Drosophila melanogaster: one gene and its partners. The protein of the gene in region 4 purifies or fractionates together with the protein of the main gene of each other region. This does not show direct contact. Each region holds a gene or a part of one and is shown on either strand. Other genes may lie near its edges. The genes, in order: mip40, Rbf, CycA and Myb.

Region 1 (5,018 bases), on a different chromosome or scaffold from region 4:
GTGATTTACATAAACAAAAGGATTTATTTAGTTTCACCCATATAAACAAAAGGATTTCTAAGTCAGCTTTTAAGTTTCATTTGATTTGCATATTTGGTACATAAAAACTCAATTTTTCAAACGAAATTTTGTGGAACTCCAACAATTTTTTCTTTAAAACATACATAGTTGCTCACTATCTTGAGAATTTAAAATTTATAAAGTAATTAAATTTTTAGTTCGTGATAAACATACATAAATTAGAAGTCGCTTTAAACGTCATTTAAATCGCGTTTTAATTTATGACGTCTTTTGGAGACTTGTATTTATTAATATATTGCGAGATAAAGGGTAATTTTGGTGTTATAGCTGAAAATATTTAACAGCCTTGTCGCTCAAAAGCAGAGTTAACGCTTAAATACGGAAGAAGAATTCAGATAATCACAAACAGATGAGGGTTTCTCTCTCTGCTTTATATTTGCACTCTCAACTGCTGAAATGCCGGGAAATTCCCGCAATTACAAGAAAACCGCCACATAAACAAAGTCACAAAACGAAACAGCAACAATGATCAACACTTAAAAAAATAAATAAAATGTTTCTTGTTTGTTTTACCAAAACTTTTTATTTCCGAAAGTTACAAAACTAAGCTGCTAGTATAAATATTATAAAAGTTTCACAATTGGCAATATAATGCGGTAATGCGGAGCTCTTGAATAAAACTTGCGTTTTTCTTACAGTGCATAACAAGTGCAAAAACTTGTGAACTTGTTTTCTTAATACGAAACCAAACCGAAGCAAAAACAACGTACAGAGAGCGCTTATTGTTATTGATAGTGGGAGAAAATCTAAAAGCACACATAGCAAATCAATATTTGCACTTTGCGATTAGAAGCGCTTGGAGGGGGTTGAGTGGGCGGTGGGTGGGTGGTGGTCGGGGGATGTACCCGAACGATTCGTTTACATATTTCGAAAAGACGGCCATTTCGAGGGAGTTTCAGCCGTTATCAATAGGCGGAAATACGTATACGCATGTACGAATGGGTAATACAGTTACGTGCAGTCTTGCACAGACACACGAACACCAATGTGCAGTGCGAGTGCGAAAGAGACACGTAATGGCTGTGTTAACGGCACAAGATAAAAACCAGCTACAGCCAGCGTGGGTGCGAGCGAGAGGGAGGGAGAGAGCGCAAGAGAGAGAGAGAGAGAGAGCAAAAAACAGGTGACATTGGCAGCTACGCAATAGTAGATAAAAAATATCCATACATATATAAAAACAACCGAGATCGATTGAAAATGTGAAACGTTGGGAAACTTGGTATGGCCCCTCCCCCTTAAAAAACGCATTCACAACTTGTTGCCCGTTTGGAAATGTGTTTATTTATTGCTTTTATTTGGTGCACTAGGTGATCTGCATGTGTGCGAGTTGTTTTTCACAATTTGTTATTTGCACACAGAGCAGATCCACCCACACCTGTGCACTTCCCAATTGTATGTGGATGTGTGCGTGAGCAGAAGAAGCAAAATCCACAGATTTACAATTTGCATCCTTACCGAATAAGTTAAATTCTTGACTTTTCCAATGTTCCTTTGTTGCTCCGCTCTTTTTGTCGTTTGTTCTTTGACATTCAAATTGTGATTTCGATATTTTGGTGCTTTTCAATCTGAATCTTTTCCACTTTTGCCCCTTCGATTTCCTCGTTGGCTTTGTTTTCGTTTTTCTTTTCTCACACACTCACAACTACACACACAGTTCACGCAAAAGCTCCGCTTTGTTTTAATTTAGTTATTTATTTTATTTTTCGCAGTAAACTTAATTAAATGTATTTTTCACGTCGCTCTTTTCGCGATCACAAAACAGCAGTGTGACCATAAAAGGTGGGTTGAAAAGCCCGAAAGGTTTTGGGTTAAAATTACCAAATCGAGAAATACCAAATTTTTAAGACTTTCATTTCCTTGTTTTTTTTTTTTTAATCTACAAAAGTATTAATTTAACAATCAAAGTCTATTAAATATTTTTGAATAGTCAAATATTAATGTGTATTAAGTTTTTGTTTAAAAATATATATGTTATTCTTTTTTCTTTTCATTTAAGCTACAAATAATTCAAAGAATTATTTCTCAAGCTAGCGTTAGGCGCCAAGACCGTTTGTTTTCTTTAATTTATGGTATTTTTTGAAATACCACTGACTTATGTAGTGTTGCGTGGCGAAGTGGTGTTTCAGTGTTGTGAAGCGCCGTAAGTCCGTTTGATTTCCGATTCGGCATTCGAAATTGTTTTCCCTTAATTTTCGTGTCGAATACAAGATTTCTGGAAATGAAGACTGTGCCGAAAAAGAAGGAAACGGCCCTGCGCTTGCGGGAGTCGCGCCGTGAGGAGCAGAAACCAGAGACGACAAACCTGCCGCCGGACGACGACGCAGAGTCGGATTTGCCCATTCGGGGCCGTCCCTCGAAGAAGCTGCTCATCCAGCAGCAACAGCAGCGTCAGTACCAGGTAAAGCTAGATCCGAAAGTCAAGACGGTCACGTCGGGCTCTAGCGAGAAGCCTTCGACATCCTCGAGTGCAGCCGCAGCCGGCGCCGGAGGACGCATCAAGGCCAGGAGAGTGCTCTACAAGAAGAGCGTTGGAGCAGCGGCAGTCGCCCAGAAGGCGCCCGGCGAGACCTACGTAATGCGCCTGTTTGAGCGAAGTTTGGACCTGTCCAAATACCAGGATAAGACTCCTTTGTACCCCATATGCCGCGCATGGATGGCAAATCAACCCAAGAATCCAGCTGTGGGTGCATTTCAAACAGATGCTTCACTCACGGCCACCAAACGTGAGGACAACGGCGAAGAAATCCTGTCCCAAATTAAAAGCGGCGAGATAAAGGTGATCAACCAGCTCCCGCAGGCCAAGTCCACGGATCTGCCCATAATTCCGCCTCGTCTGGAGTTCAGCCAGGAGGACAAGAAGCGGGAAAAGGCTCTCCAAGGTGCCAGTACCTCCGATCTTCTGTCCTCCAATATGAACCGCTGGAAGAAAGTGCGCGGACACTGGATAAAGCATATCAAGAAGTATGAAAAGGAGCGATATGAAGTTATTGACAAGATTATGAGCTTGGTCTGCAAAAACTGAAGCGTATCTAGGTGATTTTGGAAGTGGTATAGAAAATGAAAAATAATTTGGATTAATTGTGCACAAAGAATTAAAAAAAATCCTGTTTCCAAATCGAATATATATGCAAATAAGATGCTTGTACACTTTATATACTTATATAAAATAAAATCAAATTTGTCAAGTAGACCACTTCAAGTCTATCAAGAGAATGATAAAGCGTTTTTATATTTGCATATTTTCCTGATTAAAAAATAATATGAAATGCATTTGTATTGCAGCACGGAAAGGCAACCGCAGCTGATTTGATTGGATTATCCCAAGATTTTTGATAAGAAAGACATTTGTCATTGACTTGAATAAATGTTTATTTGTATTGGTAGAAGATGCGTTCCCTTTGCGGTTAAATTAGTTCTAGTTTAGAGCTGTGTATGAAGTTATCATTATTATTTTGGGTTGGCAAATGCTGCTGGATTGTTCTGGTTCCGATTATGATGTTCTTCGGCTCGTCGCCGGTGCGCCGGTCCGCAACCCCCTGCGATTTGGTTTGGGGTATACACATTGGGCATCCTGTGCGCCTATTCGACCTTGAGCAGCTCGACGTCGAAGGTGAGGGTGGAGTTGGGCGGAATGACGCCGGGGTGGCCACGGCTACCGTAGGCATAGTCCGGCGAGCAAATCAGCTTGGCGCGCTGGCCGACGCTCAACTGGGCAACTCCCTCATCCCAGCCACGGATGACCTCGCCCTTGCCGATGGTGAACTTGAATGGCTTGTTGCGGTCGCGCGACGAATCGAACTGCGTGGAATTCAAGGCGGATCATTAGCTGGGGATGGCGAGGATCGGGATTCGTACTCACCTTGGTGCCATCGTCCAGGGTGCCGGTGTAGTGGACCGTGACCTTTTGGCCATTCTTGGGATAGGTGCTGCCTGCGGGCGGGGAATGCAAAAATGGATGTGTGTGAGCGGGACGACCATATTGTCGCAGGTATTTCCGAATTGTGCATTGCGAAAATGCACTAAATAGGTTAGAAAGGCCGGTAGTTTACGGCATTTCTTGCGGATTCTAACCCAATCATTGGATACTCACCATCACCAGGAGCAATTGGAACTACTTGTACGCCCATTTCGATTAGTTTTTTTCTGGCAAATTACCGAGCGGAAAATAAGCACGTTGATTTCAGTTCGTCGCGTCGCCGAATGACAGCTAGCGGTGGGCGATGGTCGGTGAGCGGAAACTATCGCACACATCAATTTGATTAATTATCAAAACCAATTGCTTTCCGAGTTATCGATAAGGACGTTTTTGTATTTTGGCGCGTCCGTTTGAATTGTTTACTATGAACCGAAAGAATAAAGCAGTGCAAGATCTTGCCTCTTATCTTAAAGTCCGAGACACATTGGTCATTGGTCAACTTGTATAGGTCCCCCAAAAGTGTGCTAAGTATTAAATAAACATAACTATAGTTATATAATTTATTTAAATTCCTCGACTCAGTTATTTGTTATCAACTGTCACAGTTTGATTGCCATCACTCGCAGCTTTGTGTGTGGGGCTGCCGGTGTGAAGATCACTCGTCCTTCATCGTCCTTATAGTCGGCGTAGTCGATGGAATAGATGCACTCCATGCCCAAGGCCCCCTTCTGGCGAGCGGAGTAGAAGCTAGTGCAGAAGGCCATCATAAGGGGGAAACCATTCGATCGGCCCAGCTCCATCAGGGTGGCGGCCAGGCGGGAGCCCAGGCCCTTGCCCCTCTTCCACGAGGCCACGCTGGTCACGTGGGAGTAGAGCGCCTTCGGGATGTCGTAGCGCTCAAACAGATTGACTTCGCGCTTGGCCTTCATTAGTAAATGATACATTCGACCCCAAGCGTTATCCTCCACATTCTCGAGCTTCAAATTCAATGTTCCTGCATTCACATTATCGGGATAACTGG
Region 2 (8,689 bases), about 15 Mb from region 4:
TCATATCGAATGCGACTTATTCATCTATGTATATTATGAATTGAAGCCCTGCAAGCGAATGCGAATAACCATTCCCATTTCTGCTCATACCGAAGAATGCTAAGATATACACAAGTTTGTGATCAAAGCGGGAAAGCTTATGACATTATTTAAAATGCTTGTACTGTGATCTTAAATCGAATGCATTTCAATTAACTCTGAGCCCATCGAGGACTGCGGTCAACCTATTTTCTCATCGTGTGATCGGATCACCCGCAGCGGAATGCGTGCGCTTCCGTTTTGCTCGGCTTGGCCTCCTTCCTCGTTCCGTTGAAAGCAGGTATGTATATATAAGCCACTGCTCCACCTAGAGGCTCCACAATACAAAGTCAGTCATGGCCGGGTCAGTTCGTGCGACGCTCCTGGGTCTCCTCATGCAGATCCTGTGCAATGGGCTGGCTGGTCAGCAGCTGCTCCTCACACGTCCCCAAAGGAGCCTGTTCGAGACTCCGCTGGGTCACGTAGAGCAAGTGGAACAAGTGCCCTCTTTAGGCTGGAATAGTGTTGGTAGTGGACTCGGAGTGGGCGAGTGGCCCTACAGCCCCGTTGGTCTCGGCCACATGAGCAAGGATGAGCTGCTGACCCTGCTGGAGGCCTGGAAGGAGGTCGAGGAGGAATCGGCCACAACAACGACTGCGTCGCCAGCGGATGCCAGCACACGTAGACCTCCTCCGCCTCCACTGCCACCACCACCACCTCCTCCGCCACGACCCACACCCATACCAGTCTCCGTTGCAATCCCGTCACCGGCTGTTCCGCCCTCCGGCACTCCCATTACAGTGCGGCTCCCAGCCTTTGTGCCTGTGCGTCTGGCTGCCGTGTTTACTCCGCTTGCCGGTGGACAAGCTGATAGTGCTGTTCCGTCTGCCAACGGAGTCGGAGGGGCTGGAGGAGATGATTTGTCCACCGATGACGTGACAGATGATGACGGCGTCTCTACCCGGCTCTTTCGCTTTTTGCCCATGCCAGGAGCTCGAACGAGACCGCAATCCAATTCACAGCCCAGGCAGCAATTTGTGGTGAGGAACACCCTGGACAGCGTGGATGCGGGCACTGCCCCTGTCAGGCAGCAGATTAAACCGGAAGTCCAGCCCAAGGCGACTGCTCCGCCTTCCATTCCCAAGTTCCCTGGCCACCCAACTCCCTTCTTCCGTCCCAGGTAAGCAGAAACGAAAGCGCTAGAGGTGGTCATCTGGGCAGCCGGCTCATTTCCCTCCATTTTTGCTCTAGATTTGGTGTGCCACCGAGTCTGGCCAACGCTCGATTCGAGCTGGTGCCCTCTTCCCAAATCATCGGCGACTGGCGGGTGTGAGCCTGTGCATCACTTGACTGACCAAAACGGAGTACCTTCCGGCGAACCAACCAGGATCGAGCTTTTGAAGGAGGCTGTCTTGCTAGGCTGTTTCCACTGTTGCTTATGTATTTTATTTTTTATTGAATAATAATTTTTTTTTTTTTTTTTGTGTCCAAATAGAATATGCAATCAGTCATAGATTAGCGACATACTAACTGCTTTCGAATTGAAGTAGGCACTTTTTCTGCTCCAATGGCCATGTGAAGCCATATATGTACATCTATTTGTATGTCCTCTGAAATCGCTCAGCTTTTAAAACAAAGAGCAGTCTGAAGAGTACATATAAAGATAGCGATCAGCCCGAGTATTTAGCCATAACAATTTATAGTATTTTTCGAATCCTAAGATTGGAATATTCAGTTCAATCGAATATGTATGCAGTTTCCCCTCACACAGTTTTATAAGTTGGCCTGAAGTTTTTGTACAAAAAAATATAAATTTTATATTTAGAAATGAAATGCTCTGCATCTTTTAATGCCCTCTGCGACGTGGGAACGCCGCGTCCGAACTTGCAGCGGTTAATTCCCTATGTCGAGCCGCAACAGGACGACGAGGAGGATATGGTAGTGTGGTGCCGGTCAAATCTGGATTTGGCCTGCTCGCTCAGCGAGATGCGCATACGCTGTCCAGAGCACTTCGATGTCGCAACCGTCGTGGGGGTAAATTCGCATACCGGAAAACTAATCACCCACTTTAATCACCGGAAACTGGGGGATGTGGACCTGGCGCCTCACGCGTTGCTTAGCCGGCGAGACAAGTTCATGGACATTTGCCAGAAACAAGTAATGACGAGTCAGGGCTGCTTGGCGTCAGAGGGAACACCAATCCCCGCCGACCTGGAGGTCACTTGGCAGAGTCATAGCATCATTGACTGCCTTGCTCTCCGCAAGGTGCGTGCAGAGATGAATTTAGCTGATCAGAAGGCGGCCAAGAATCTTGTGGATCGCGTTGAGGTGCACCACAAGACTTTGCAGACGGAGGAGGCGGAGCGAAGGAAATTGATTATTGACAAGGCAAATTCTGCGAGGAACTTGACTATTGACAAGGCAAACTCTGCGAGGATCTTGGCTATTGACAAGGCAACCTCCGCTAGGAAATTGACTATTGACAACTCAACCTCCGCGGGGACATTGACTATAGACAAGGCAACCAACGCGAGGAAATTGACTATTGACAAGGGAACCTCCGCGAGGAAATTGACTATTGACAAGGCAACCTCCGCGAGGAAATTGACTATTGACAAGGCAACCTCCGCGAGGAAAATGACTATTGACAAGGCAAAATCCACGAGGAACTTGACCATTGACAATGCAACCTCCGCGAGGAAATTGACTATTGAGAAGGCAACCTCCGCGAGGAAAATGACTATTGACAAGGCAAAATCCACGAGGAACTTGACCATTGACAATGCAACCTCCGCGAGGAAATTGACTATTGAGAAGGCAACCTCCGCGAGACGTTTCTCTAGACCAAAAAGATATGTCAGCGGGTATATTTCCAAAAGAAAATCGATCGGAAAAACGGAGTCTTTGTCGCGCGGTGCATACATCCCCGATCCTGAGCTCAACCGCGCGATAGCCAAGTACGGTGTGTCTGCTAGTCAACCGTTCAAAAGACAGCATTGCCTTGTGCTGGAGAAGCATCCCGACAGAACCCAGATCCCGAACTCCAGAACCAACACCAGTGGCTGTAAGTCCGACGGCTCTTCAACACCCATTTGGAGAAGTGCTAGAACTGGTGCGGATCAGAATACGCAGGCAGAGAGTTCTGACTCTTTCAATTCCTCCAATTCCTTCGAGAGCTCCAGTCTGGCCAGCGATTCTCAAGAAAACCACGAGCTGTCCACGGCGGCAGGTCTGACGGCGGCCTTTATGCGGCGACACATGCTATTCCACCTCCTGGCCAGGAGGTTCAGAAGACGGTATCTACGTTAGCCACGTCGTAGCTCGGGTCGTATGTGCTGCGACAGCAAGTTCTCTAAATTGTATAGTGTATATGTATGTATGTTAGTAGCTGAATCGCGAAGAATTCCCGCGAATTTCCATAAAGTTCAAAGCAGTATTTAAATTTGCGGCTATCGATTACAACTAGCTATATCGCCGATGTGCAATGCTCTTGAACGCTAACCAACACTGTCAGTTTACCGCACACATGCAAATAGCATTGTGCATTGCAAATAAATTATATGTGTACACATATTTTTGTCAATTATTTCGTTCTAATTCATTTTAGGGTCCCCCAATTTAGGTATGTATGCAACACGACATACTGCTTGCAGTCACTGCATAACTCGCCAAGCACTGTAGTAATACCACCCCACCACGTTTAAACTGGCCGAATGCGCGCGTCGGTGTGACCGCATGGCTTTGCTGGCGAAATACCGGCCGCCCAACTAAAAATCCATTAACTTGTATTAACGTGTCAGACTCTGACTATGCAATCGCAATTGCAAAATCTTTAAGTAGTGGCAATAAATTAGTTTTCCTTCTGCACAAGTCCATCCCTAGGGCCACATCGTCCGCGCAGCCCTAGAAGTGGATAGTTCGAACGCGGAGTGGATCACACGCACCTGCCCGCCGCAACTAGTCAAGTTTCCCGCGTTTTCCATGGCGATTAAGTTGTGAAATAGTTATTTTGTTAATGTGTTTTAACCAACAACCGTGGCCGTGGTGTGGTCCTGGCTAATCGCAGCATCCCAGCGCTGTTTGTTCTGTCCCCTCGCCTGCTCTTTTGTTGTGTTCCTCAGAAAAGGGTGTATCGCGAACACACACACACGCGACAAACACTCGCACACAAACACACACGCCCAAATCATTTCGGCGGGAAACTTCATTATTTCTGTAATTAAGTGTAAGCTCTCGCAGTTACATGTCCGCGAGGAGCGCGGCGGCAAGCGCAGCATACACCGGCAGCCACTAGGCGCCAGGCCACTAGACGTAAACAGCGGCGCCAGGCCCGCAACGCCCCGGTTAGCCGGCTAGCTCCAATTCAGGCGCCTCCGTCTCCGATTTCCGACTCCAGGCTGTCGCCAGAAGCAGCGGCCGCCGCTGCAAGCATACGCAATCAGCCGGGACAGAGACATCATTCGCAGACATGAGCGAGCCTGACCCGCAGGAACTGGGAGCTGAGGTGGTCAGCGGATTGGTGGCGACCAGCGACGACCGCCTGGAGATGATCAACGCCGAGTACACGAACCTATGCCGGGATCTAAACATGGATCGGCAGACAGAGCTGCAGGGCTACGAGACGTACTTAGAGGTGTCCCAGAGGTGCTCCATGGAGGTGAGCTTCGAAGTGGCAGCAGTAGCCTCCAACCTAACGTCCTTTCTTTCATTCTTTCTGTGCATTGCCTGCCTAAAAGGGCACAGCCAGCCACTGGATGTGCTGCGCCATTTACACGGCCTGCCGAAGAACCAGCACACCCACGGTGACTGGCCAGAATGCAGTGGTCAAGGGTAATTGTGTGTCCTTAAACAATTTGCTGCGCTGCTGCAAGATGAGGTGGGTTGCCGTTTATGCCTGCAGTTTCACACCTAACCATTTCCACAATCCCCACCCACAGCATCTACGAGTTCAAGACCAAAATTAAGCAGTGGTGCGACATGGCCAACCTGCCTCAGGAGTTTGTCAACGAGATTGAGGATCTGGACCGCAAGTTCAGCATTACATTCATGCTGCACAAGCGTTTCCGCATTATTATGGACATGATCTTCTCGTGCCCGCCCAACGAGAAGAAGCACTCCAAGTACATGTGCGTATATCATCATGTCAGCCTGACCCCGTGTATATAAAAAGCTTCCCTCTTTGGAACAGTTCTCTGCATGGCAACCACGCCCACGGAAAGTGCTCGTACATCAAGCTGGACGACATCTGCTGGCGCCTGTTTCTCTGCGCCAAGAACCAGAAGCCGAGCAACACCGTGGACCTGGTGACATCCTACAATCTGATGATTTGCTGCATAGACCTGATATACAACAATGTGCTGGCCGAGAAGCGCACCGATCTCATCAACCCCAAATTCGAGGGCCTGCCGAGCAACTGGACGGAGCTGGACTTTCGTCACAATCCGCACTGCATTTTGTCCAACTTCTGTGACATGACCGAGGAGGCTAAAGCCATGAAGGCCACCACTTTCCGCCAGATCATGTCGAGCTTCTTTCAGGCTTCGGTAGGAGTGCCGTTTCGGATTTCCATTAAAACAATTAATTTGTTCTATTTTCATTTCGACCAGACCATCTACGGCAACAAGGACACTATGTTAGGCCTATTGGCTAACGAAAACTTCGAGCGCAACCTAAAGTCCCTCAACATCAGCTACGAGCAGTACGTCCTCAGCGTCGGCGAATTCGACGAACGCATTCTGAGTGCCTACGATGCGGGGGAACACACTGCCCTCAACGACCAGTCCCTGCGTCCGCCGGTTACTCCGCTTACCCGCAAGCAAGATCTGCCTGCGCAGCCCGCGATGGCTGGCGATAAATTTGAGCCCGTCCGCAACGCCACTAACAACGTGAAGCAGCTGAGCGCCTTCGGACGGATCACAGAACCCACGGACTTTGTCAAGTGAGTTGCCGGCTGGCCTTGTATTTGGGTTGGGTGTCGAGTGTTCCTAACTATCATTCAAAACCTGTGAGAGAGAAAAGGCTTATCTCTATGTCCAAATGGCTGAAAGTCGTTGGCGTCGTGTAAACAAAACTCATGTTTATTTGATTGCTTTATAAATCGTAGGAAATATCGAATATCGAATTTCGTTAGCCGAAGCACACATCCATAGAAATTTCTGTTGATGTAAGAAGAATCGATTAGATTAAATCCGGGATTGATTTCTATAGCTCATGTTTTGATATCGCCCTGTCTTTATCCAGGCAAGCTGGCGAAGAGGTAATAGCCAAGCTGCTTAGCATCATCGAGGAGATCGAGCAGAAATTCCTCGCCAAGTACCCGTCAACGGAGGCGAAGAGTCGCTTCCAACTAGCGAAGTCCTTCTTCTTCTACCTGCTCGACCAGATCCTGCAGGCGGAAATTCGGAACAAGCCCGACATCGATCTCAAGCGACTGCTGGTGCAGAAGGTCTCCCTGGTCATCTTTAACATCACGCTGATGGCCTGCTGCGTGGAGCTGGTGCTGGAGGCCTACAAAACGGAGCTCAAGTTCCCGTGGGTGCTCGACTGTTTCAGTATTAGCGCGTTCGAGTTCCAAAAGATCATCGAGATCGTGGTGCGGCACGGCTCGCACGAAGGCTGTTTGAACCGGTCGCTGATAAAGCACCTTAACTCCATCGAGGAGACGTGTCTGGAGCGGCTGGCCTGGGCGAGGAACTCGACCGTCTGGGAAATGATCGCCTCCGCCCAACTGCCGTTGCCCACGTGGCTCATGGTTAACCTCGACCGCGCCGCCGGCCCCTTGCAGATATTCCTGCGCAAGGTGTACCTGCTTGGCTGGTTGCGCATCCAGAAGCTGTGCTCGGAGCTGTCACTGTGCGAGAAGACGCCCGAGAGCATCTGGCACATCTTTGAGCACTCGATCACCCACGAGACGGAATTGATGAAGGACCGCCACCTCGATCAAAATATTATGTGTGCAATATATATCTACATAAGAGTGAGTAGCACATCCACATTCTATCTCTGTCCGATTCGCTGGCATACATTTTGAAATGCACATAATCAGATGCATTCGTCCGTGTGCAGCTGAAGACCCACTTATAACATCCATGCAACTCCTTACAACCCGCAGGTAAAGCGAATGGAGGACCCCAAGTTCAGTGACATTATGCGGGCATATCGCAACCAGCCGCAGGCGGTGAACAGCGTCTACCGCGAGGTGTTCATCGACATCAACGAGGACGGGGAGCCAAAGGTGAAGGACATCATTCACTTTTACAACCACACTTACGTGCCGCTGATGCGGCAGTTCGTCATCGACTACCTAAACGTAACTCCGGACGTGAGTGGCCGGGCTTCGGATCTACAGCTCTCCCCGCATCCGAAGGAACGGGCCGCCCAGCCCAAGAAGGTAACCCAGAGCCACTCGCTGTTCGTGTCGCAGATGTCCAAGAACGAGATACAGCAGTCGCCCAACCAGATGGTCTACAGTTTTTGCCGCAGCCCCGCCAAGGTAAATATTTCGGAGTTGCGTCCACCTCCTCAGCTATAACATCGATTAATCCGCTTGCTATACCCGCAGGACCTTCAGGCTATGAACGAAAAGGTACGCGGCGGCAAGCGCATGCTGAGCTTTGGCGACGAGCCCGGACTAGGTACAATGGCAGAGACGAAGCGCTCGAAAATCAGCCAGGTCAAGGCCGTCATGGACGACCCTGAACTGCAGTCAGCCGAGCAGCAGACTGCTGTTACCACGGAAGGTTGCGTAGGGGGCGAAGGAGGAGAACACGAGACATAGACACGGGGCTTATGGGGGCAGACTAGACTTAAGGCAAGAACTAAAAATTCGGCGCAGAAGGCCACACACTGGCCCCTCCGGCGCACGTTCGACTATTTTATGATTGTTTTTTTTTAAATATTAAAACTTAAATTGACATTTTAACTTAATTTCAACAAACTATTTTAGCACATCTTTTAATTTTGCTCAACGCCAGCCAACCATATAATTCATATGCTAACCCAATACTTTGAAATAGTTGTACTAAATACTTGATCACCACACACACACACATCCATCGGTCGCGACTCCCCGCGATTTAAAAATCACTAACAAAAAAACAAATCAAATTAATGCAATCCACATTATATATAAAAGCTTATATACAAATATACTTTTTACAAATTGATGTTAATTGTATTTATTTAAACATTTTCGTAGTCGATCTACGTCGTCGTACAAAGGATGGGATGTTTAAAATCGTAATTTCTCTGGTCGAAATTGCCACCTTTACAAGTTTCAGGCACCAGGCGAACAGAAACAGTAACAGGTGCTAGCTGGCCGCTCAAATTAACTAAAACAGCTGATCCTTTTCAAGATGGCTGCGCCTTACGCTTTTCCAGTCAGCCCATTCGACCAATAGGAAGCCAAAGATGGGGAGAAACCGTTAGTTACTTTATGATGTCTGCCCTATGTGGCAATTTTTGTTTGCCTGGTGTTCAGCCACTGAGAATTCACAAATTTTTGACAAAATTTACGACGGGGCAACATTTTTCGCAGACAACTGTCGGGTCCCAGACACTAGGCCAACAGAATCCCTAGCAAGCTGCAGCTGGCAGCCCTTTCGATCTTTCCAGTTACCAATTGACCAATAGGAAAGCAGCACAACCGTTAATTCGGAACAGAGCGCACACC
Region 3 (9,817 bases), on a different chromosome or scaffold from region 4:
CAAAAACTACTGTACATTGTCGGAGAGCACGTGATCAGCTATGAGTCGCCATTGGATCCGCATTCTGGGCACGATCAGCATTTGTGGATATTGCGCGACTACTGCCCAAACCTGCGACACCTCAAAATGTCTTTTCGACGCCCCCGATGGAACCCTTTGTTGAAATTGAAGAGTCTAACATCGTTACATGCTAGCCTGCACTTCACGGATGAAGGTCTTTATAAGGATTTTATAATCAGCCTAAGCGATTTGCCGCACCTGAAGAAATTGAAATTGGAGGCGACATCCTACACGGGCGACGGACTACGTGCCCTAGATAAATTGGAGTACCTGGAGATTGGCAACCAGCGTGGATTTGATGCGAGCATTTTGGCCTCGTGCTGTATGACAATGAAGAAGTTGTGCCACCTTAACATGGGTGAAAACACCGCCAATCTCGAAGCGGAAGACTTTCGGGTAATTGTGAGAAGGGGAAAAAATCTGGAAAGTCTCGCCTTTTCGTTAATACTTTTGGAAGGAAATGTACCCTACGATACTGTCCACCAGCTTCCCAAATTGAAACACTTGCAGTTGTGGTATCGGGACAATAAATTTATCTCGAAAAGTTTCATCGAGAAACTCATTCAAAAACCGGGCACTCCGTTGGAAAGTCTAATTTTGATGGGAAATACCCTGAAACTGGAAGAAGTAGATGCTATCTGCGAGATATCTTCACTTCGGGAGCTGTTTGTCTCATGCAAAACAGATGCAGCAAGAAGTTTTCTACGTCTAAAGCATTTAGAAATCTTGGACGTGAAAATGTTATATGTTAGCAACGATGAGTTGCTTGCGCTTCTGGAAGAATGTGCTCTTTTAAACGTACTTAGTGTCCGGTTTGCCAGGGAAATCACCTTTGAATTTGTGTTAAAAGCTTTAAGTTTGTACAGTCACAGAAAAATTAAAATCTATTTGCACGAATCATCTGTTGATTGGAGCCTTAATCTTCCGGTTCCGAAGGGCAAGAGGAACATTCAGTTCATTAACGGCTATTTAAAGAGTCCCATATTGATGAACAAAGATACTAATGAATTAGATTAATTACAAACGAACAGCATTTTTTGTTAGTTAATAAAAAAACGTTTGACTTTCGCCAAATATTGCCTTACTATATTGGTAATTATTATTTGACCCTGTAAGGTATTTTATGTATATTTCCAGAGCTGCTGGGGCCAACGATATTATACAATTGTGTAACTGCTAGTCGGTTGTCCTGCTACCTGGTCTCCAGGACATCGAGATCGCAAAGGTCAGCATTTGTGTGCAGGATCAGAATGTTGGTTAGCTCATTGTGTTCGTACTTCTTTGGGTTCCTAACTGATTTAGTTTTTAGGCCGGCAGTTGCGAAATGTCTCGTGCAAAACAATGCAAAATCCGATACACCTTTTCTTTATTTTCTTAGGGAGGCGCAGCTGCTCTAGAAAACATACTCTTCCGTTCACAAAATAATCGTGGCAAGAGTCATACATACATACATGTATGTACAATGCTGAATTAAGTCAAAAACAATACATATTTAATAGTTATGACAAATATTTAAGCCACCACGTTATGTTGTTATATTCTTAAACTTAAAAGGGTTAAGAAATCAGGATACATATTTTTTAAGAAGATTAGAAATCAAAACAATTACCATAACTGTTAACAAATTCACCTATTATTTATTATAATGAATGTTATATTTGTATTTTCTATAAATATCTCACAGCCCCTCCCATTAGAAATTCATAGGGAAGACGTATGGCGTATTTCGTTATATCTTTCTAATCGTGAAAGTCATCCGAATTGATAAATATATATACTTTTGTATTTACACTAACATATTTTTTATAAATGGGTAGCATCGTTAGGCGTATTGAAAAGAAAAAGTTTCGCTTAACTTTTTTTGGGTTTTCCACTGACAGCCAAATAATAATAATCGCAGTAGCCGAAATAAAGCTCTTTAAAAAGTTAATTAGAGAGTTGCTGCTCTTAAATTTAACGCGGTGGTTGTTGTTAATTGTGTACTTTCTGTTGCATGCAGTTCATAATTTGTTCAAAACTTCGAGCGGCCACTTTGTTTGAAAGGACTTTCGAAAAGGGGAAAAGTTTTTTTTCCTGTTTCGATTTATTTCTGGGACAGAAACGATTTTTGGAGCCACTCGAGACCGAAAGTCCAAAAGCCTAGCCATTTTTTTTAATTGTAACCTAAACATTTTTCCAAGTGTCCTAATACGTCGATTATTTAAACATTTCATCAAAAACATTACGCTTTCTATTTAATTATATTTTGATAAACAGTTGTTTAATTGATTTTTGTCAAGTTCGCTTTGCAGTGAATTCTTAATCTTAATCAAAGCAACAGTAATAACAACTTAAGCGATTACCGTGGACATAATATATGGATTATATATATGGATATAATACATATATATTCGATTAACTTCAAAACAATGCTTACAAACCCATGAAGAACTTATTCCAAACCCTTTTTATAAACCTTTAATATGTATTATTGGTTTGATCTCTAAAGCTTAGAACTAAATAAATATGCACTCATTTTTAAAAACTATGCAAAAACAATGGACTTCGGCAAAAATAAAAATTAACGTTATACACATTTTTAAATTTTGCGCACTGCTGGAGTTGCCAGTCCTAAAAAACAAACTTCTGACATATATGGCCACACTGTCGGCAAATGTCGATAGACGCCACGACCTATCGATAGCTGGACAGTGTCATCTCTAACATTTACGACGTGTTGACCGGGAAAAAATCAAAAGAAGCCAGCAATTGCTTTTAAACCACGAACCGCTGAACAAGTACGGAGTTTGTAAAATACTTAATATTAGCTAAGTCCGTGCGAGCGTAGCCAAACAAGGAAACTAATTCCAACGCTGCCGTGACACAAACTTCCGTACGAAATTGAAAGTCAAATGAATTCTGTACAAAACTGTGTGTGTGCGTGTAATTCAAGCGTCAATTTGTCGATGATAAAATTTGCCTGCGCCTAATGTACACATGTCTGCGTCTTCGTTGAGCATATGAGCCTGTGAATGTGTGCGTATCGGTGTGAGCGTCGAGCATAAGAAAGCAGCACAAAACAACAACAACGGCAGCAGCAGTAACAACAACAGCAAGAAGGCAACGACGCTAAGAGAAAGAGAGAAGGAAGGGAAGAGCAGAGCATAATCGGACTCCATTTTACAAGGCGAAAAAAGGAGTAGGAAAGAGCGCACCATGGCCAGTTTCCAGATCCACCAAGACATGAGCAACAAGGAGAATCCGGGCATTAAGATTCCGGCCGGAGTGAAGAACACCAAGCAGCCGCTGGCCGTAATTGGGGGAAAAGCGGAGAAAAATGCGCTTGCGCCGCGGGCCAATTTCGCCGTGCTCAATGGCAACAACAATGTGCCGCGTCCGGCCGGGAAAGTTGTAAGTACCGTTGCCGATTTCCCGTACATCCAGTGCCTAATTCCAATGCAGCTGCCTTTTTATATTTTTATGGTGGTGGGATCGTCACACCACTGCGACCGTGCGCATGTGTGAGATCTCCTAGTGGTGGTGGTGGTTTTCTCTCCCTTACCTCTCCCCTACCATCCCATCCTTTTCACTTCTCCATCTTACGTTACTCTCTTCTTAGAACGACCAATGCACTTACTTGCGCCTAACCTAGAACCTTAACTAACCTAGAAAAAGACACAGGCCTTGCAATTACGCGCCTTTTTGATGATTTGCAACAACAAAGCGAAGCAAGGAGGGCAAAAGCAATTGCGACATGCAACGCACACATGCGTATAGGTGCACACATACACACACACACGAGCAATACGGGAAGCCAGGGAAAGGCGCGCAACTTAAAGTTGGATCGATTTATGGGGGGGGATAATCATTTTATTTCTTTTTTGCTTACTATATTAAGGATGCATATGTAAAAGGAATTATCTTTGTGTTTTTACTTTTATAATCCCACTGCAATATTACCTAATATAAAATTATTACCTAATATAGTAAGTTGACCATATTGTTGAATTTGTCTTCTTCGTCTTCTGTTCCTTCCAGCAGGTCTTCCGTGACGTCAGAAATCTTAATGTTGATGAGAATGTGGAGTACGGCGCCAAGAAATCGAATGTGGTGCCCGTGGTGGAGCAATTCAAGACCTTCTCCGTGTATGAGGACAACAACGATACCCAGGTTGCGCCATCCGGCAAATCCCTGGCCTCCCTAGTCGACAAAGAGAACCATGACGTGAAATTGTAAGTTTCCATCTGTCACTTGGTAAGCCGCAAACAAACTTTTGTTTGTTTTTTTTTTCACTCCATTCAGCGGTGCTGGGCAGAAGGAGCTGGTAGACTACGATCTGGATTCAACACCCATGTCCGTGACGGATGTTCAGTCCCCCATGTCCGTGGACCGCTCCATTCTCGGTGTCATACAGTCCAGTGATATCAGCGTGGGCACTGAAACGGGAGTCTCGCCAACTGGAAGAGTCAAGGAGCTTCCGCCGCGCAACGATCGCCAGCGGTTCCTGGAAGTGGTTCAGTACCAGATGGACATTCTGGAATATTTCCGGGAGAGCGAGGTAAGCTAAACCAGGGACATAAACATAGGCTTCAATATGATATTATTAGATGACTTCCTCACAAAAATATTTCAAACTCACAAACTCGCTTTCATCGCGTAATCATTGTCAAAGACAATGATATTTTTTAACTAGTAACTGAAGTGGACAACTTTTATCAGGTCGAGTTTTCCTTGATTATCTTCCAGGGTATTGCAGTCATGTTTTCTGGCATAAATTTGGAATTTTTTCCCAAGGTATCTTGCGTTTTCAATGTGTTACTACTTACTTGGCCATGTGCATTGTACTTTTCTGTGCAGACGCAGGCAGACGTAATTTCTTAGGGGAAGTCGGACCCTGTCGCACCCTCCGTTGGCATTCCCTTCACGCAACGCTGCCTCTTTATGGGTTCATGGGTACACTTATTCCCGCTCGCGGGCACATGTTTGTTGGGCGGGAAGCGAAACGCTTGTCTGTCTGCGTCCGTCTCATCCTTTGTCGTTGTTGTTGACTCTCTTTTTCTCATTCGTCCAAAGTCGTAGAACACTCGGGGTACCAATGGAATTCGACTTGCAGAGGGAGGTTGACTACTATTGTAGTTTGTTTCCTACGTTAGTAAATAAAAGATTAAAAATTAAAATAAGTTTAAAAACTAAAAAAAAAATTAAAACCAAAAAAGTTTTAAAATTGATAAAGAATTTAAAAAACTAGAAAACCAAAACAAATAAAAAAAATTTAAAAATATTTTAAAATCGATAGTTAAATTACAAAACTCGAAAACAACATTAAATAATACAAAACAACAACACAAGGATTAGGTTTTGTCCAGAATGGGCGTATTCTTTATTTTCCCTTGATATTTCAGTTTTTACTAGAGATGGGTTTTTGTCTTTTTTTTTTTTTAAATTTTTAAATATTTGAAATGCTTTGTTTCCAACATGAACATTATAATTTCGTCGTGAAGATTCCCAACAAAGATTGTATTTTTAAAATAGTACAATGTTCTGGACGCCTATGGAAAGTTGCTGCACAAGAAAGTGAGGCAGCTTTCTAATCGCATCCAGCTCATTATTCTCGAATCGTCTTGGTTGGGAACTTCAATACAATCCCACTAACGTGAGTTCTTGTTGAACTGATCGTAAAAGTCATCGGAGACGGCATTGGTTAGGCCCACAAGGGCTTCCTTGCGCTGGCGATCCTGCTCCACGGCCAACTTGGAATTCGCCCGCATCAGCTCATCGAATTCCGCCTTACGTCGGCGATCATCCTCGATTTGGTGAAGGACCAGGGTGCGGTCCATATTAATGGAGTATTGCTCCCACTGTTTGTCCATCATCTGGGCCTCCGTCTTGCGCTGAATAGACAAACGAAGCTGCTGATCTTGTCCAAGACGAAACACGCGAAGTTCTTCGGGCGTCATGCCGCGATACATGAAGGCAATCTTCTTGTTCGGATCGGTGCGCGATTGAGCCACATCCGGATTTTCAGTTAGCATATCGCTGGAGAGCATGTTATAGATCTCGGCCATGTCATCCTCGTACTTTTCACGCTTTTCCCTTTCGCGGTCCAATTGCTTCTGCTTGGCCATGTTGATATTGAACTGACGCACTCGCTGGATGACTTGGTTGCGCATCTGGTGATCAGACTTGGCCATCTCCTGCAGATGCTTGTCTCTGCAACCAACGTTGTCCATCAACACATTATCGGCCTGCTTGCGAGCATCCTCCGCCCTCTTACGCTCCTGCACTTGCTGATCCAGCCAGGCTCTTTGCTGCTCCCGCTGCCGCTGCTTTCTGTCAGAGTTATAGAGGTCCTCGCCTTGAAAGATCTGGGCACTGGACACGCCCAGCGAAATGTCATTGTCGGCGACTCTTGTTGGACGTGCCTTCTTCAAGAAATTCGGATCATTTAGGTCGAATTCGCGGCGCTGCTCCTTGCGCTGATAGCGGCAGCGATAATAGTTAAGATCCGAGTCCACCACACGCTGTTTTTTCTCCAACTCCATTTCCTGGGCCAGGATCAGACGCTTCTGCAGCTGCTCCTGTTCTTCAAATTTCTTGTCGCACTCCATCTGGGCGGTTCGCTGCTTCTTTTTCTCAAGTATTTGGCGATCCAGCATTTCTAGGTCGAGCTGTGAATAGGAATATTCGGCAATGAAGCTCACCCAGTCTGCAGATGCATACTTACCCCGTAAAGACGCTGTTTGGCATTAAAAATGCGCCGCTTCCGCTCATCTTCGTACTGCTCCCGCTTCTGCAGCTTCATCGCCTCGTCGAGATCCTGCTTGGTGCATATACCGATTTTGAGCGTCATTGTGCCGGAGTTAGTTATAAAAGATGTTCAACTGTATTCGAGGTCGATATGTCTGTCTCTTCTTGTTAGTAGGATGTGGATATATGCCTGAGTTGACTTTGTTTGCCCGGTTGCTGGGTGCTTTGTTTATTGTTTGCCTCTACTACTACCTCTGTAACCTACTAGTTACAGACTATTTACATATATCTATAATAATTTCATGGGAGTTAACTGCCTTAATATAAAACAAATGCTGATGTATGTACATATATTCATGTCAATCGAATTCTTTAATTTTTGCAGCTCGAGTCGCTTGACGGTTCCAATAATCGTTAAAGCGACCATAAAATAATCACCTAATGTACATATTGCCCATATATATGTACATATATGTAGGTGTTTGGCAAAGAAATTTAAGTTCGAACTGGGAATTTCGATGCGACTCACGTACTACGAAATAACCAATAAATAAATAAAAATCGGTTAACTCCCTCCCCCAGCTGTTGTTTGCCACTTCTCCTATGGTATTTATACGCTTGATTTGATGACTGTACGGCTTTTTCTCCCGTGAAATTTGTACATTTTTGACACCTTCTTAAGATGAAACTGGGAACGGGTAGTTGGTTGCCAGATTAGAGTGTAGAAAAGGCATAAGCTATATATATGCGAATCCTAACCTAAAGTATTAAAAGTTTGGCTTAGTAATTTTTGTTAGGCCGGGTAATCTAATCGGTTTCTAATCATTTGTTTGCATGTGTTTGCATCTTCCAGAAGAAACATCGCCCCAAGCCACTCTATATGCGCAGACAGAAGGACATTAGCCACAATATGCGCTCCATCCTTATTGATTGGCTGGTTGAGGTTTCCGAGGAGTACAAACTGGACACGGAGACGCTCTATCTCTCGGTCTTTTATCTAGATCGATTTTTGAGCCAAATGGCGGTGGTGCGCTCCAAGTTACAGCTGGTGGGCACGGCAGCTATGTATATTGCCGCGTAAGTATTCTTGATAGTCCGGTAATAATGGTGTGTGTATTCATGGGGTTTATTTTTTTATTTTTCAGAAAATACGAGGAAATCTATCCCCCAGAGGTCGGTGAGTTTGTCTTCCTCACCGACGACAGTTACACCAAGGCGCAGGTGCTACGCATGGAGCAGGTTATCTTGAAGATTCTCTCCTTCGATCTGTGCACACCGACTGCTTACGTCTTCATCAACACCTATGCTGTACTTTGCGACATGCCTGAGAAGCTGAAGTACATGACGCTGGTAAGCTATTGCCAATACAAAAGAAAAAAGAAACAAAGCCGAAACTTAACTTAATGTTTACCTGACACAGTATATTTCCGAGTTGTCGCTCATGGAGGGAGAAACGTACTTGCAATATTTGCCATCACTTATGTCATCCGCTTCAGTCGCACTGGCGCGTCACATTTTGGGCATGGAGATGTGGACGCCAAGGCTGGAGGAGATCACGACTTACAAGCTGGAGGACCTAAAAACGGTTGTGTTGCATCTGTGTCACACCCACAAAACGGCAAAGGAGCTCAACACGCAGGCCATGCGGGAAAAGTACAATAGAGACACGTAAGTCGCAAACACTAGATAGCCGAAGAATGAGCCCGTGTTGACCAAATGTATTTCTTAACAGTTACAAGAAGGTGGCTATGATGGAATCCGTTGAGATGAGCAAGGACGACTTCGATCAGCTCTGTGAGGCTTACAATTGCAAGCAGAAAGAGGATGAGCACCAGCAGCCGGATATTAATACTAAATCGAACGTGAATTTGTTTTATAAGTTTTAAGTGTTTTGAGCCGCTGTCATGGCCAAATTGTATATTAGTTTAGTGTTTCCATGTAACATTATGTAGTTTTAGTTATAAGTGTACACAATGGATCAATTGCAGTTCGGTCGCAGTCAGCCAGTCGTATAAAAGCTTCGCATTGGTTGGCCGATTGACAAGCTCCCGTTGCAAGTGCCGGACAATTTTATATGTAAGCCATATAAAAGATAGTTGCCAAAATATACGCGCTTAACAACATTCGCGTCTGTCCACGGTGAGAGCTTGTCATGCCAAGCGGGAGCAGTAAGAACTTCGGCAGTCTTAAAAACTATCCGATTAGCCAATTGAAATTGGAGGAAGCCACCGGACACAACATATTAGTGCTGCTTATGCTAACGATATTTTATATTTCAACCTCTTTATGTTAAGTATGTATGTTTTCGTGTTTATAAATTGAACCATACTAACGTATACAATGTGTCTAAAGCAGAAACAGCTAGCTTCGAGAATTATTTTACCATATTTATATATTACTATTTACTCCGTAAATGTTCTGTGAACTCCAAAACAAATATATACACAATTTTAACAAAAGACACCAACCGCCCAGCCAGGACGGAATAAAAAACTCACACTGATCGTGCTCAGAACGGCAGGCAGCCGTGGAATGTTGCTAAACTCTTGTTCTTGTAATCTTGTAATCTTATACGCTTACTAAATGTTTACTAAACTTAGTCTAGACCATCTTGCGACCACATATGTAGCTAGAATAGAGCGCTGCCGAAATGCGTACAGCCAGATGATGGGTCTTACTTTACACTTAGGTTTATGCTAACTAATCCATTTAGTTTGATAATTCCATTGACCATCGCATCGAGTGTTTTGTGCTCGCCAGCCGAATATTACCTAAATATCCAATATTAAGAATTCAATAAAACTTTGAAAGATGCAAGCAAAAGAGGTGGTTGTACTTGTACCATTATTTGTGTGTCACGTCGTTGGGTCAAACAAAATAAATAAATAAACCCAGAAGTAATATTCGTTATTTCAATTGTATACATTACATTTTTGAAAGAATTATTAACCATAGCCGCTCTAACCATTTGATTTTTTATAGCTGCGTCACAAGTACATGCGGGAGCTGGCCAAGGGAGACTCCGATTGGC
Region 4 (7,127 bases):
TTTGTACACCAAAATTGCAAGTTTTGCACCACCACCGCGGCGCAAGTGGCCCTTTCGATTGGAGCAAGGAGCACGACTAGTGGATGCGAGCCGTGCGCAATTGAAAGCGCGGCAGCGAAAGCAGGTCAGAAGTTCCCGAAAGCGGGCGGTGAGACAAAAACAGTCGCGGCAATCGGTGTCCCATTCGCACGCGCAGCAACCGCGTAAGCGTACACATGACAAAGAGCAGGAGGGAAATAGATAAAAAAAAAATAATCAATTTTAAACGTTGAACATTTTTCGTTGGGAAGGCACTGGCACAGGCACAAAATATATGGAGCTCATTTCATTTAATTTTCCATGCCGACTGGCAATCGTTTAGAAAAAAAAAACAACCAAATCTGTGCAATAGTCATACATATATGTAGGCGCAAAACTATCGAGACTGCATTTTCATCACTCGTCGTTCAGCGAGTATGAAAAATTTTTTTTTCCTTTTAGCACATACACACACATTACCATAGATCAGTAATTTTTCTTTCAATTTTCATTCACTGGACAGTTTGTTGATGACGACAATACGTTACTTACACGCAGTGTTAACTTTTTATACGCAAAACAAATTCCCGTCTTCAACTACACAAATAACTGAAAATTTTGTTAACGAAGCCACCAATCTGTAACTTTTCATTTGCACTCTACAATTGGCAGCCAACACCTAGAAACAAATTAAGGGTGCAAGGAAGCAGTATCGATGTATGCGGATATCGATAGCATTGATACATATTCGGCAGCCAGGCTGTTCACACTGCGGACGGAGAGAGCCGGCAAATATACCAACTTGTCTTTATTTATTCAAAGTTTATTTGTCAAAAGACGTTATATTTTAAAAACATATTTTATTTTATATAAACAATGTGGTACCCCTTTCTTTTGAACCGAATATAGTATTAAGCACGCCCCCTCACATGAAAGTAAAATAACTACAACATATATAAATATATAAATATGTCATATAAATATACCATTTTCTTATTTCAACTCCTTTTTTAATATTAATTCATAAAAATATAAAAAATAAAGATCTATTATCGCTCTGAAGTGTAATGTTCCCACTTGATTTTTTCCTGTGCAACCCTTAAGACGTATCTTCGACCGAAATAATGAAAACGATCACTGCAAAAACGTAAACAATGAAAAAATCGGTCTCAAAACAACAAAAATATTTCAAAATAGTTAAAAGTCCCGTTCATATATCGATAACTTTATATCGATAAGATTAATCACAAATGAATCACCTCATGAAAAAAGGCTTAAAATTTTTTCCATGAAAAGGACATTCGAGCTTTTTCGGCAATGTCTCTTATGAATTGCATTCATTTTTAATTTTTATATCTATCCCATAGTATTTCCACCACATGTCTGATTTCTAAACGTGCTCAAAAGCATTTAAGATTTCTCCAAACGCAGTCACACTATTGCTATCGTTTATATTAACTTATTGTTTATATTGTACTTATTGTTTATGAAGCATGTTCAAGCTAGTTTTTAAGCAGTACAAGTGCAAAAGTACCAGTCCTGATTTAACGGAAGTTGTTAAGATCGATGATTGTGTAGTCAAGGGGAATGATCAAGAAAAGAGTGATAATGTAAGTACTCGATCCGTTGCAATTGAATTATGATTTCTACATTCCCCTCAGAATATTGTTCAACGATTAAGTATCAGCAATGTAGAAAGCCTACAGACAATGCCAGGCGTTAAATCGCCAAAAGATTGGCGAACCTATACATTAACTAACCATCCCGGCATTATTGTGATTCGGAATCCATTCTCGGAACGAGGCCGGCGTTATTGGAGCGCCCGATGTCTGCGGGATTTTCCGCGAACGCCAAATATAGTCAATTTAAATGAAAGGCTCTTCGATGAATCCGTCAGGTCGGACTGGTGGAAACAGCTTAATCTGTGCAGCGATGGCGTTGAGTTCCAACGTATAAAATCCGCGATGCGTTGGACGACATTTGGATATCATCACAACTGGGACACGAAGATCTATGATGAGGAGATGCAGTCGCCGTTTCCCGAAGATTTGAGCAGTCTATGCGGATTGTTTGCGCAAGCGTTGGGATACGCGGATTTTAAGCCAGAAGCCGCAATTGTAAATTACTATCCAGTTGGTAGTACGTTATCGGGTCACACAGATCACTCTGAACCAAACAAATCGGCCCCTTTGTTTTCTTTTAGGTAATATATCACGGATTAAACATATCCGTGCAGCTAATTTTTTTTTAATTTTATGCTTACAGTTTTGGTCAGACTGCAATATTTCTAATTGGTGGAAGATCTTTAGAAGAAAAGCCAACCGCTATCTACCTTCAATCCGGGGACGTTATGATAATGTCCGGAGAATCGCGTCTATGCTATCACGCAGTTCCTCGTATCATCAAAACTCAGGCTTCCGCGACTTTATCACTGATAATTGAAGATGTCGATAATGCAGATATTAAAACGCGTACAATTGATAAAGATTTATTTCATGATGTTGGCAACCCTCAATTTTGGGAGCCTTTTTCGAGATATATGGACGATTCACGTATTAATATTAATATACGTCAAGTTTTAAATCCAGGAGATGTTAAGCTTTAACCCCTCCTTGGAAAAATTTTTAATTTTATAGTATTTTACAAAATAAAAAACTGCATTTCAATTGAAAACTAAAGAAACATAGCAATTAACGTTGAAGTGATGCGTTCAATGGAAATATCTTAAATGTATAGGTGAAGTTAATAGTTTTATAAATATATTTTTCAGTCCCTATAAATGCTACTGACAACTAAATTTGGCAATTCTGACAAAATTATTTTATCCGATGGCAACTTTTTAACAATATTTCCAAGAAGTTGATAGCTAAATATCGATACTATCCCAGCTATCGTACAAGATATTGACTTCTAGTGGAAACGTGCCGATTACCGTAGTGATTATTTATCGATAGATTTTAATCGTTTTGAATTACAACGCTAGTGCTCGTGTAACGGTCACACTAAGTACTACATTTAATATAATAAGATGCGACGCCGTAAAATTCCAGTGTGAAAACGTGAATGAACTGATCAAAAACACCAAAGTGTGTACCCATAGCCCAGCAGTTTGAATTTGAAATAACGGTAGCACCACTTTAGATGAAGACAAATGTGCGAGTGGTAATTTTTTTCCCCCGTTTTCCTCAGTGCTAAATATAGAGCATCAAAATGTTTGGCATAAACGTAATATCGTAAAACTTGCATCTGCTTTTTAGTTCGCTGCCTGAATGAGTATGTCCACAAATATCTGTAATCTTCAAGTAACAAAGAACACGAATCCAAACCAAAATCGCCTCGAGGAGCAGCAAACAAAACTATTCGATTTTGGGCGGACCGAGAGCGATGCGACGCACCCAATATTGCGCAGCGATCATCAACGTGAACTGGTCGACTGCCTGACGTGCGGAAATCAATTCAAGTGTAACTCGTACAGCGACATTTGCTCGCACTACATATTCTACCATCCGCATATTCTGGATCATTTGCCCAAGTGCTTGTACTGCAAACGCGACGTTCATCGTTTCCAGCGTGGGAACAAGTCAGAGCCGGAGATCTATCACTTTTGTTCGCCCCGCAAGCAGCGTTAAAGAACCCATACACATATATACAAAGAGCGCCATTATTCATATATATATACCTATAAAGTTGATCTTAAGATGGCAAGTGCGAGCACTGAAAACGGCGAGGAGCTGATGAATTACGGCAGCAATTCGGATTCGGAGGAGTCCGAGTACTCGGAGAACGAGGATACCCAAGTTTGCGACAAGGATTCACAACAGAACAGCAATGCCGATTCGGGCTATCCACTGGACTCGCCCGAACTACAGGACTCCAAGACGACGGGGCAAAAGGGACAGAACAAAAGCGGTAAAACTAGCATCGGTGCAGTGCATCCGAACTATGGATTCGGCAAACGCTGGTCCAAGTCCGAGGATGTGTTGCTCAAGCAGCTGGTGGAGACGCACGGTGAGAACTGGGAGATTATCGGACCGCATTTCAAGGATCGCCTGGAACAGCAAGTGCAGCAGCGTTGGGCCAAAGTCCTCAATCCGGAGCTAATCAAGGGCCCGTGGACGCGGGACGAGGACGACATGGTTATTAAGCTGGTGCGCAACTTCGGGCCCAAGAAATGGACACTAATTGCACGATATCTGAACGGACGAATTGGGAAACAGTGCCGCGAGAGATGGCACAACCACCTCAATCCGAATATCAAGAAAACGGCCTGGACCGAAAAGGAGGACGAGATTATCTACCAGGCTCACTTGGAGCTGGGCAACCAGTGGGCAAAGATTGCCAAACGTCTGCCCGGACGCACCGATAACGCCATTAAAAACCATTGGAATTCAACAATGCGTCGCAAATATGACGTCGAACGCAGATCGGTTAATGCATCTGGTAGCGATTTGAAGAGTTCGCGAACCCATCTCATCACGCTGATCAAGTCCGGTGGCATCAGCAAGTGTATGAATAATATGCAACATAACAAGGAATCTGGTGGTGAGGCAGTTAATAAATCCGAAAACGCCGATGGCGCTTCGGTTACTGCCGTGAAAGGTGGTGATCTGGCACAGGAATCACAAGACGATCATCAAAAGGGATCCAATCTGGCACACCTCAGTATGCAGCATCTCATTAAGTTGACCATGCCGCGCCAAACACCGATCATATTGAAGCGTACACGCAAACACATTCCCGAAACTCACCATCAGGCAGGATGTTCATCAAGTGAGACATTCAACCAGGAAGAAGCCGCCGGAAACGCCAGGTCGCGACCACCGAGTTCGCCCGTCATATCGCCCATTAAGTCGCTACCCTTTTCACCGAGTCACTTCCTCAAGTCGCCTTGCCTGACCACCTTTGAAGATATGGATCTGCGGGCTAGCACGCCGGTAACCAAGGTCTATAATCGCGTTGGAATGGAGATCAAAAAGGAAATGGAGACATCGTCGATAGAAACTCCACACAAGAGTAAGTACAAGCCACTGTTGGCTTCAAATGCATCTTGAATACACACAATCATCGTTATTTGTAGGTCAACTTGGACCACGAACACCAACGCCCTTCAAAAAGGCACTTGCTGCCATCGGCAAGAAGAGGGACGGTCGTCGATACGAGCCCTCCAGCCCATCCAGTCTGGTGGAGGATCTGGCCGAAATCATCCATGAAGAGCATCTGAGCAACTCGCTGACCGCAAACAATTCCAAAATGATGGGCGCCGCCGATCAGAACTCAACGCTAAGCACCGAATACAATGCTCAGTCGCCGCCGCATATGAAACGTGCCAGGAAGTCATTGCTCTCAACTTGGAGCTCCAATCATCCATACAACGCTGGCTCCGCCAAGAGGATTCAACCCTTCGAAACCGAGACGCCCAGCAAGTTTCTCACATCGCCGGGCGATATTTTGAAGGACACGCTGTGCAGCGAACAGGACCTGCCGTTCGACGAGGGCAGAAAGGAGAATCGACCATTCCATAATCGCAGAATTAACAAGTACCGCGGTGGCTTGACCTACGATCATGTCATTGATCCCAAGTGGGCACGCGTCGCTTGTGGCAAGTCCAGAGATCAAATGTTTATGGAGGAGCAGGCTTATGCGTGCCTCAAAAATCTGTCCTGTATTTCGCGCTCCCTGAACTTCGAGAAACAAAAGTGTTTGGTGAATTCGTTCGACCGCTTTGGTTCGCTCTAAATTCTATGTGGCTATATTCAGGTATTACAAACAAAATTCTATACGCATCATCTTTATAATATTGTAGATATGAATCCCCAAATTTTCATCCAAATTGTGTTTTCGAAATAGAATTTATTGTGCTACATTTATGGCATTATTGGTTACATCCACCTTAAATTGTATCCCATTTTTTTCGGATATTTCATAAATAAATAAATGCTTAAAGTGAATGAAGCGTGTTTTAACACAAAGGACTTACATATATATATCGTTTTTTTTTGGCTTTGTAGGTTACAGAAGAGAGATATATTTATTCAAAAATATATCTATTATATTACAGAGAATATTTTGATAGACATTTGCCAAACCTTCGATTTCTAACTTTGTTCGTCTGCAATATGTTTATTGAATATGTCCAGATATTTTGGCACTAGTTCTTTCGCCGAAAAACGATCGAAATTAAAGTTCTCAAAGAATTGATCGCGCTGCTTGCGAAAGACCCTCGGCATTCTACAAAAGTTGTAGAGCTTCTTCGTCAGCGCATTGGAGGTGTTGTAGAGGTTTTCCTTTGGGTAGATTTCCGGGTAGACCAATTTGTTGGGCGCAATGGGATAACAGCCGCAGAAAGCGGCCTCCAGCATTGCTACTCCAAAAAACTCATGGTCGGCAGTTGATATCACAATGTCCCCAGTCAGCAGGGTCTTCAAGTACTCTTCACGCTCCAGATGGCCAAAGTTCACCAGCTTGCTGCCCAGTTTCTCCTGTATATGCTCGAATTCCTCCGGTATCTCCTGGTAACTCTCGCCACAAATAGTCACCTTGAAGTCCACTTGTCGCTCATGGAGCTGACAGAGCGTATCCACCAGTAGTTTGGGATTCTTATCGTGCTCCCAGCGATGTGGCCAAATAAGATGGATGCACTTCTCATCCAGATCCTCAGCAGTCTCCCCCTTTACGCACTCCTTCCGAATGGGAAACCGTTCGAAATTGACGGGAAAGTACAGCACTTGGCATTTCTTCTCGATTTGCTCGCGAATATGCTTGATTTTAAAGTCTGGCTGCATATTCAGAAAGGGCTGAACATTATCCAAAAACGAGTTGCAGTTGAATTGGGAATTGAAGAGCACCATGTCTGCGGCAAGACTGAAAATGGATGGGTTATGGATGCAAGTTGGGTATACAGGATGGTCACCTACCAGGAGAGTATCTCATTGAAACCGTATTGACAATCGCGCTGCTTCACCTCGCGCACCGGATAGATCAGCTGGTTCTCGTGGAAGTAGACGATCTTCCGGCAAGCGGCCAGATCCGGACGCAGACCAATCAGCTCGGCCAGGCTGAGCACGGAGCTGGCGAAAAGCACCCGGAATGCGTGATCGCGCGGAATCAGC

What was found.
Region 1: the proteins of Myb (region 4) and mip40 purify together in Drosophila melanogaster (affinity purification with western blotting; 5 studies listed by BioGRID, with this or other methods). This does not show direct contact.
Region 2: the proteins of Myb (region 4) and Rbf purify together in Drosophila melanogaster (affinity purification with western blotting; 2 studies listed by BioGRID). This does not show direct contact.
Region 3: the proteins of Myb (region 4) and CycA purify together in Drosophila melanogaster (affinity purification with western blotting; one study listed by BioGRID). This does not show direct contact.

What each region holds. Positions count from the first base shown.
Region 1 is NT_033778.4:19,289,379-19,294,396, reverse strand, and holds mip40 (Myb-interacting protein 40), read left to right. Parts: upstream 1-2,200; 5' UTR 2,201-2,299; coding exon 2,300-3,103; 3' UTR 3,104-3,292; downstream 3,293-5,018. Other genes in the region: Fkbp12 (FK506-binding protein 12kD), read right to left, coding at 3,661-3,879, 3,941-4,011, 4,172-4,208; AANATL4 (arylalkylamine N-acetyltransferase-like 4), read right to left, coding at 4,597-5,018.
Region 2 is NC_004354.4:796,583-805,271, reverse strand, and holds Rbf (Retinoblastoma-family protein), read left to right. Parts: upstream 1-3,792; 5' UTR 3,793-4,486; coding exon 4,487-4,675; intron 4,676-4,754; coding exon 4,755-4,894; intron 4,895-4,955; coding exon 4,956-5,144; intron 5,145-5,206; coding exon 5,207-5,561; intron 5,562-5,624; coding exon 5,625-5,956; intron 5,957-6,258; coding exon 6,259-6,994; intron 6,995-7,129; coding exon 7,130-7,510; intron 7,511-7,579; coding exon 7,580-7,795; 3' UTR 7,796-8,182; downstream 8,183-8,689. Other genes in the region: CG13358 (uncharacterized protein), read left to right, coding at 375-1,198, 1,270-1,351; CG13359 (uncharacterized protein), read left to right, coding at 1,846-3,327.
Region 3 is NT_037436.4:11,826,507-11,836,323, reverse strand, and holds CycA (cyclin A), read left to right. Parts: upstream 1-2,745; 5' UTR 2,746-3,255; coding exon 3,256-3,450; intron 3,451-4,077; coding exon 4,078-4,271; intron 4,272-4,341; coding exon 4,342-4,597; intron 4,598-5,479; exon of another isoform or gene 5,480-5,687; coding exon of another isoform or gene 5,688-6,707; intron 6,708-6,763; coding exon of another isoform or gene 6,764-6,889; exon of another isoform or gene 6,890-7,075; intron 7,076-7,134; exon of another isoform or gene 7,135-7,294; intron 7,295-7,639; coding exon 7,640-7,863; intron 7,864-7,931; coding exon 7,932-8,136; intron 8,137-8,206; coding exon 8,207-8,454; intron 8,455-8,518; coding exon 8,519-8,672; 3' UTR 8,673-9,241; downstream 9,242-9,817. Other genes in the region: CG43064 (uncharacterized protein), read left to right, coding at 1-1,077; CG7264 (uncharacterized protein), read right to left, coding at 5,688-6,707, 6,764-6,889. UniProt on the Drosophila melanogaster protein: Essential for the control of the cell cycle at the G2/M (mitosis) transition. Interacts with the Cdk1 and Cdk2 protein kinases to form MPF. G2/M cyclins accumulate steadily during G2 and are abruptly destroyed at mitosis.
Region 4 is NC_004354.4:15,853,694-15,860,820, reverse strand, and holds Myb (Myb oncogene-like), read left to right. Parts: upstream 1-2,997; 5' UTR 2,998-3,144; exon of another isoform or gene 3,145-3,207; 5' UTR 3,208-3,293; coding exon of another isoform or gene 3,294-3,647; 5' UTR 3,648-3,716; coding exon 3,717-5,031; intron 5,032-5,095; coding exon 5,096-5,754; 3' UTR 5,755-5,989; downstream 5,990-7,127. Other genes in the region: AlkB, read left to right, coding at 1,512-1,628, 1,680-2,221, 2,284-2,623; CG46440 (uncharacterized protein), read left to right, coding at 3,294-3,647; CG15914 (uncharacterized protein), read right to left, coding at 6,114-6,879, 6,933-7,127. UniProt on the Drosophila melanogaster protein: DNA-binding protein that specifically recognizes the sequence 5'-YAAC[GT]G-3'. Component of the DREAM complex, a multiprotein complex that can both act as a transcription activator or repressor depending on the context.